Linked DNA regions of Schizosaccharomyces pombe. The gene in region 1 interacts genetically with each later gene. Each region holds a gene or a part of one and is shown in the gene's direction. Other genes may lie near its edges.

What was found.
Region 2: mutations in res2 (region 1) and tea2 together harm fitness more than expected from each alone (negative genetic interaction), as found in Schizosaccharomyces pombe (3 studies listed by BioGRID, with this or other methods).

Annotation. Positions count from the first base shown.
Region 1 is NC_003424.3:684,535-688,292, forward strand, and holds the start of res2 (MBF transcription factor complex subunit Res2), read left to right. Parts: upstream 1-2,000; 5' UTR 2,001-2,058; coding exon 2,059-2,290; exon of another isoform or gene 2,291-2,454; coding exon 2,455-3,758. Other genes in the region: glutamate-cysteine ligase Gcs1, read left to right, coding at 1-1,736.
Region 2 is NC_003423.3:3,891,146-3,894,903, forward strand, and holds the start of tea2 (kinesin family plus-end directed microtubule motor Tea2), read left to right. Parts: upstream 1-1,911; 5' UTR 1,912-2,055; coding exon 2,056-3,758. Other genes in the region: uba1 (ubiquitin-activating enzyme E1), read left to right, coding at 1-755; Pet117 cytochrome c oxidase assemby protein, read left to right, coding at 1,110-1,205, 1,259-1,429. UniProt on the Schizosaccharomyces pombe protein: Promotes microtubule growth, possibly through interactions with the microtubule end, and is important for establishing and maintaining polarized growth along the long axis of the cell.

The DNA of each region.
Region 1 (3,758 bases):
CTGTATATGCCGCTTTGAGGAATGAAACCTGCCCAAAGAAAATAGACGCCATTTTATCTGAAGTGGCTAAAAACCCGGCTGATTATGTCGAACGCATAGGAGGAAATTCAAACAAAGATACTATAGAAATTACGAGTTCCACCAAACCACATGCGCAGAACGCGGTCCCTACTTTCCATCCAGAATATGGTCGTTATATGTTGGAAAGTACACCAGGTGCGCCTTATGGTTCCACTTTAAAGGATTTTACTTTTGTAGAGTACAATATGCGATTAAGAAGAAAAATTATTGAAAACCATTTACTACCCAATGAGCTACCTTTAACAATTACTAATTTCTTTCGTCTTGGAACACCAGGCTTTACGGATCCAGAAGTCGAAGCCAATGGTGCAATTTCGCGATCTTTTTTCTTACCGGACGATGTTATCAACACACATGTTCGTTTCCCGACCTTGACTGCTAATATTCGTCAAAGGCGCGGGAGAAAAGTGGCCATGAATGTTCCGATTTTCTTCGATAAAAATACAATTAAACCATTTCACGATCCTACCGTTCCTTGGGATAGAAATTTGTTTCCTGAAGATGCAAATGCACGAGATGGTGCAGCGTTAGACAATCATATTTACATGGACAGTATGGGTTTCGGTATGGGATGCTGTTGTCTACAAATTACATTCCAAGCTAAAAGTTGTGATGAAGCTAGACTTTTATACGATCAGTTGACTCCTATTACCCCCTTGATGCTGGCATTATCTGCCGGAACTCCAGCATTTCGAGGCTATTTGGCTGATCAAGATTGTAGATGGAATGTGATTGCTGGTGCTGTCGATGATCGAACCGAGGAAGAAATGAAAACTGTGCCAAAATCAAGGTATGATTCTGTTGACTTATATATCTCGAATGACAAGCGCAATTTACCGGAATATAATGACGTCCCGGTCGTTATAAATCAAGATTGCTACGATAAGCTAATAAAAGATTGCATTGATGAAAGATTGGCTAAGCACATGGCTCACATATTCTCTCGTGATCCTTTGGTTATTTTCAGTGACAGCATTTTACAAGACAACAGTGTATCCAATGCTCATTTTGAGAACCTAAACTCAACTAACTGGCAATCTATGCGCTTTAAACCTCCTCCACCAGGTAGTGATATTGGTTGGCGTGTAGAATTTAGATCAATGGAAATTCAAATAACTGATTTTGAAAATGCGGCATATTCAATTTTTGTTGTGATGCTTTCTCGTGCAATTCTATCCTTCAATTTGAATCTGTACATGCCGATATCGCTAGTGGATGAAAACATGAAAGCTGCTCATGCTCGTGATGCCATTCATCGTAAAAAGTTTTGGTTCCGTTGCAATCCATTTCCTGACGCAAGTACTGATGATGAATCTGGTCAGTTCCGTCAACTTACAATTGACGAGTTATTTAATGGTGAGCACCGTGAAAACGGATTCCCAGGTTTAATTACCATTGTTCGAAGCTATTTATACTCTTGTAATCCTGATGCCAAAACTATTTGCCTAATTGAACGTTATATTCGCCTAATTTCTCAAAGAGCAAATGGCCAATGCTTGACTGCTGCTTCGTGGATACGCAATTTCATTACAACTCATCCTTCTTATAAGCAAGACAGCGTGGTCAACGACGAAATTAATTATGATTTAATTAGAAGAATAGCAAAAATTGTAGATGGCGACTACGACGATACGTTACTTGGAAAATGCTCATAATGCAGATGAATTCTGAGTGGAATATATATAAGATTTTTTTCTACTTAATAACATATCTAAAATTTTGGTAATTTAAATTCCTTTGCAATTCAGTATTACAAGTGTAGTTCTTTGGCAACTGAGACTTCCCATTGATTCCTTTCATTAAGTGAATACTCATTATTTAATTAGTGCTAATATATATTCAGTAACTACATAGTTGATTTTCTGTATTGCCCCACCCTTCCCTATTGTTATGTGTATACGCAGGTAGGGTGAGCGAACGCAATGCATGCACCCTTTTAAGAGTCCGCGCTACGCATTTTAACTGCCTTTTGCTGTAATGGCTCCACGTTCTTCCGCAGTACATGTTGCCGTTTATTCTGGGGTTGAAGTCTATGAATGCTTTATTAAAGGTGTCTCTGTGATGCGCAGACGCCGCGATTCCTGGTTGAATGCTACACAAATCTTGAAAGTGGCTGACTTTGACAAACCACAAAGGACAAGGGTTTTAGAAAGACAAGTACAGATTGGTGCGCATGAAAAAGTACAAGGTGGATATGGAAAATATCAGGGTAAGTTGTCTACTGTTACGCGTTGTGACATGATTTGCTATCTTTGAACAACGCGAACAATTGAGTGTTTACTAAGCCAAATCGAGGTATTTTAATACCTTTTTGTATTAAATATCTCTATGGACGCGTCCTCTAAATGATTGACGGTATTAACCAAACTATAGGAACTTGGGTTCCATTTCAGCGTGGGGTCGACCTGGCCACAAAGTATAAGGTTGACGGAATAATGAGCCCAATATTGAGTCTTGACATTGATGAGGGAAAAGCAATTGCTCCAAAGAAGAAGCAGACCAAGCAGAAAAAGCCTTCTGTACGTGGCCGTAGAGGCCGTAAACCGTCGTCACTTTCTAGTAGCACTTTGCATTCCGTCAATGAAAAACAACCGAATTCTTCTATATCACCAACAATTGAGTCATCTATGAATAAAGTGAATTTGCCTGGTGCAGAGGAGCAAGTTTCTGCAACACCTCTGCCAGCGTCTCCTAATGCACTGCTATCACCAAATGATAACACTATAAAACCTGTTGAAGAGTTAGGCATGTTGGAGGCACCGCTTGACAAATATGAAGAGTCACTACTTGACTTCTTTCTTCACCCAGAAGAGGGACGCATTCCTTCCTTCCTGTATTCGCCGCCCCCGGATTTTCAAGTTAACAGTGTTATTGATGATGATGGCCACACTTCTCTTCATTGGGCATGCTCAATGGGACATATAGAGATGATTAAGTTATTACTGAGAGCCAATGCTGACATTGGCGTGTGTAACAGACTGAGTCAAACACCATTGATGAGGAGTGTTATCTTTACCAATAATTATGACTGCCAAACTTTTGGACAAGTGCTTGAGCTTCTCCAGTCTACTATTTATGCTGTTGACACCAATGGTCAGTCAATTTTTCATCATATTGTGCAATCAACCTCAACTCCTTCAAAAGTTGCAGCGGCCAAATACTATTTGGATTGCATATTAGAGAAACTAATATCGATTCAACCATTTGAAAATGTTGTGAGATTGGTAAATCTACAAGATTCAAATGGAGATACCTCTCTATTAATTGCTGCTCGAAATGGAGCCATGGATTGTGTAAACTCTTTATTAAGTTATAACGCCAATCCTTCTATTCCTAACCGACAAAGACGTACAGCTTCCGAGTATCTTTTGGAAGCTGACAAAAAGCCACATTCATTGTTACAGTCAAACTCAAATGCTTCGCATAGTGCTTTTTCATTTTCCGGAATAAGCCCTGCTATTATCTCGCCATCATGCTCATCGCATGCTTTTGTTAAGGCAATTCCTTCAATATCTTCGAAATTTTCTCAATTAGCAGAGGAGTATGAATCTCAGCTTCGAGAAAAAGAAGAAGATTTGATTAGAGCGAATCGTCTCAAGCAAGACACGCTTAATGAAATTTCCAGAACTTATCAGGAATTGACCTTTCTGCAGAAAAATAACCCCACTTATAGTCAA
Region 2 (3,758 bases), on another chromosome or scaffold:
AGTCTGGTATTAAAATTCAAGTCAATGAAAATGAAGAAGCTCCCGAAACCGCTGCTAATAAAGATAAACAAGAACTGAAATCGATTGCTGACAGTCTACCACCTCCATCCTCTCTTGTGGGTTTTAGACTAACTCCGGCAGAATTTGAAAAGGACGATGACTCTAATCATCACATTGACTTTATAACGGCTGCATCAAATTTGCGTGCCATGAATTACGACATCACACCTGCGGATAGGTTTAAGACGAAGTTTGTTGCCGGTAAAATTGTACCAGCCATGTGTACATCAACTGCTGTCGTTTCAGGACTTGTATGTCTTGAGCTTGTTAAACTTGTTGATGGCAAAAAGAAGATCGAGGAATATAAAAATGGATTTTTCAACCTTGCTATAGGGCTCTTTACATTTTCTGATCCTATTGCTTCTCCGAAAATGAAAGTCAATGGTAAAGAAATCGACAAAATCTGGGATCGCTACAATCTCCCGGACTGCACACTTCAAGAGCTTATTGATTATTTCCAAAAAGAAGAGGGGTTGGAAGTGACCATGCTTTCATCTGGAGTTTCTCTTTTGTATGCTAATTTCCAACCACCTAAGAAACTTGCTGAAAGGTTGCCTCTCAAAATTTCTGAATTGGTTGAGCAAATTACTAAGAAAAAACTAGAACCTTTCCGGAAACACTTGGTGCTTGAAATTTGCTGTGATGATGCCAACGGTGAAGACGTTGAAGTTCCATTTATTTGTATCAAGTTGTAATACCTTTGAGAACCGGTTAATTCCTGGAATTTGCAACATTTAATGCCAATGGCTCTAATAAATTTACTAAATTAGTATTAGCAGTCTTTAAAAAACATTAATAGGCATGTATGAATAATTTATTATTTTTCCTATACTCTTTCTAATTTTTATGAACTAAGATCTGTTATATTTTAAAAAGTATTTTGACATGTAGTAAAATTGTTGTTTTTTTGAGCAATTTTTTTAACGTCGGCGATTGGCATTTACGTAAGTTTCGACTGCTAACCTCCTAATTTACCTAAGAGTATATCTTTACTCGGCTACAAAAGTCTATCGTATACATTATATTAAATTTAACTAGAATTATTGCCAATGTCTACTGCCTCAAAACTTTGTATCGTCGGGGCCGGTGTCTTTAGTGTTTACATGGTTTATTTCGTACATAATAATCAGATTATTGAACGAGAGGTAATATTTACTTATATTAAAGAAAATATGCACCATAGCTAATGTAAGTATAGAAAATGTCGGCGGGAGTTCAAAAAGATGATGAAAGGAAAAGAATTAAAAAAGAAAGGTTTGAAGACCTAAAGCGACAACAAGAGTTACGAAAATTTTACGAAAGCCAGCTACCTGTTGAAGAGGACGAAAAGGGTCTCCGACAGACAACGCAAACAACAGTGAACGACTAAAACCAAGTTTTTAACACAGATTGGACGAATCGAAATTATAGACAGCTTGAAACCTATAGCCTCGGACTTCCAGTGTTCAGCCAATTTATCCAGAGCAACTTATTTACCTTTACTATACATTAATATTTTTTTCATCTTTGCCAGATTTTAAGGATTTAATATTGAGAAATTCAGCTCGGTTAAATAAAAAAGAAGTAACTACATCTAGAAAACGGCATAACAGGGTGTGTTAATCTTAGAGGGTTATAGGCAAAAGAGCTAGTTTTTTGTTAACATTACTCAAAAAGGAAATATAAATCAATTTACATTATGCTATATATTAATGAAATTTACTTTATCCGGTTATTAGTAATATAAACTTGTCATAGTTTACTGGTTATTCGTTATAATGGTTACTACCATCGTAACGAGGTAAGTATGCCGAAGTGTCTTGAGATTCCTTAATGTGCGAATGAAGTGAATGGTGAAGGTAGTTTATGTCTGACAAATTCTAATACATTTCACTAGCTTGTTGAAAGATTTCAAAACTGAGTAAATTTGACCACCACTTAATGGAAATTTTTCTATTCTTTTTATTTTATATAAGCACGTTCATTTTCTAACCTGTTATTTTTCTACTTCATGAAATGAGTTCATCTTCCTCAAAACCCGTGAATACTGGGTTGGTTACACCTCGCCGCTATTCTACAATGACTGGCATACGGACTGGTCCATCTCAGAGTGGAACAGGGAGTATTCCATATTCCCCAACGTCACCATTGTCCCGAAATTTTTCGAACTATTCCATACCTATGCTACGAAGCAATAGCACTCAAACAAATGTAAATGGGCCTACAGCATTTGATTTGGGAGTTACAGAGAAATTGATGTCTCCTGGAACTTTAGATAGATACACGCGTCCTGCCTTGTATCCGTCGAAGGACTTGGATTATTTAAAAAATGAGTATGTTAATTATGAATCTACAACAAGTCAACAAACCAATTCTAAAGGTTTAAAAGAGAGCAACTTTGTTGGTTCAGGAATTATCACAAGTATACGTATTCGACCTATTGGTAAAAACCAAGGTGTATGGTCACATGGCAAGTTAAGCAATGACCCATATGGTCGTGAATACATTCGCCAGCAAACAAGTACAAGCTCGTCCACAATTCAGCAAGAATATCTTTTTAATAATGTTTTTGGGATGGAATCTAAAAATTACGATATATACAAACGTTCTGTTAAGTCGGTTGTCCGTAATGTTTTTTCCGGATATAATGGAATAGTGTTTGCTTATGGAATGACCGGCACAGGAAAAACATATTCTATGCAAGGTACGGAAAACGAACCTGGTATTATTCCACTTGCCATGAATGATTTATTTGAAATGGTTGAAAACAATTCTGATGACGATACCTTTCAAATCCGTATATCCTATTTAGAAATTTATAATGAGAGAATACGAGACTTAATCGGAAACTCGGACGAAGAGCCAAGAATACGCGAAAATGCATCTGGAGAAGTCAATGTTACACCATTAACTCGAGTTCTCGTCACTAGCCCCGAAGAGGTTAGTCAGGTTATTGAACAGTGCAATGCAATCCGAAAAACAGCAGCAACCGATTTCAATACGTATAGTTCTCGTTCGCATGCAATTCTTCAGGTTTTTCTTATTCGAAATAATCCTACTGCTCACACTTCACAAATTTCGAGTCTCAGCTTGGTGGATCTCGCTGGAAGTGAAAGAGCTTCAGCTCACCATGAAAGACGCAAAGAAGGAGCATTTATCAACAAATCTCTTTTAACATTAGGAACTGTTATTTCTAGGTTGTCAGCAGCTGCAAATCCTTCACTTACCTCAAATTCAGGACATATACCGTATCGTGAGTCTAAGTTAACTCGTCTGTTGCAGCAATCTTTATCCGGCCAATCACAAATATCACTTTTAGCAACGATAAGCATAGAATCCAACCATACGATGGAGACTACTAACACGCTTAAATTTGCATCTAGAGCTCAAAATTTGCCTCAAGATATTCGCCAAGCGGAAGCTGTGACTAATGTTCAAGCTGAATTAGCATCTTTACACTCTGCCCTTGAAAAGAATGCCCAAGAAGTTGAATATTATGCTTCTTTGGTGAAGCAATTGACTTCGGACTTAGAGGAACGAGATACATACATTGCCATGTTAGAGGCAGAGCGTTCGCAAGGAACTGCTATAAGTAGAGCTCGTTTACGAATGGAGGAATTGCTTTCTGACCATAATTTCGAAATTGCAGATCTAAGAGATGAATTACAAGATAAAGAACAAATTATTTATGCTCTTCGATATGCTCAGAAGCAACGGGA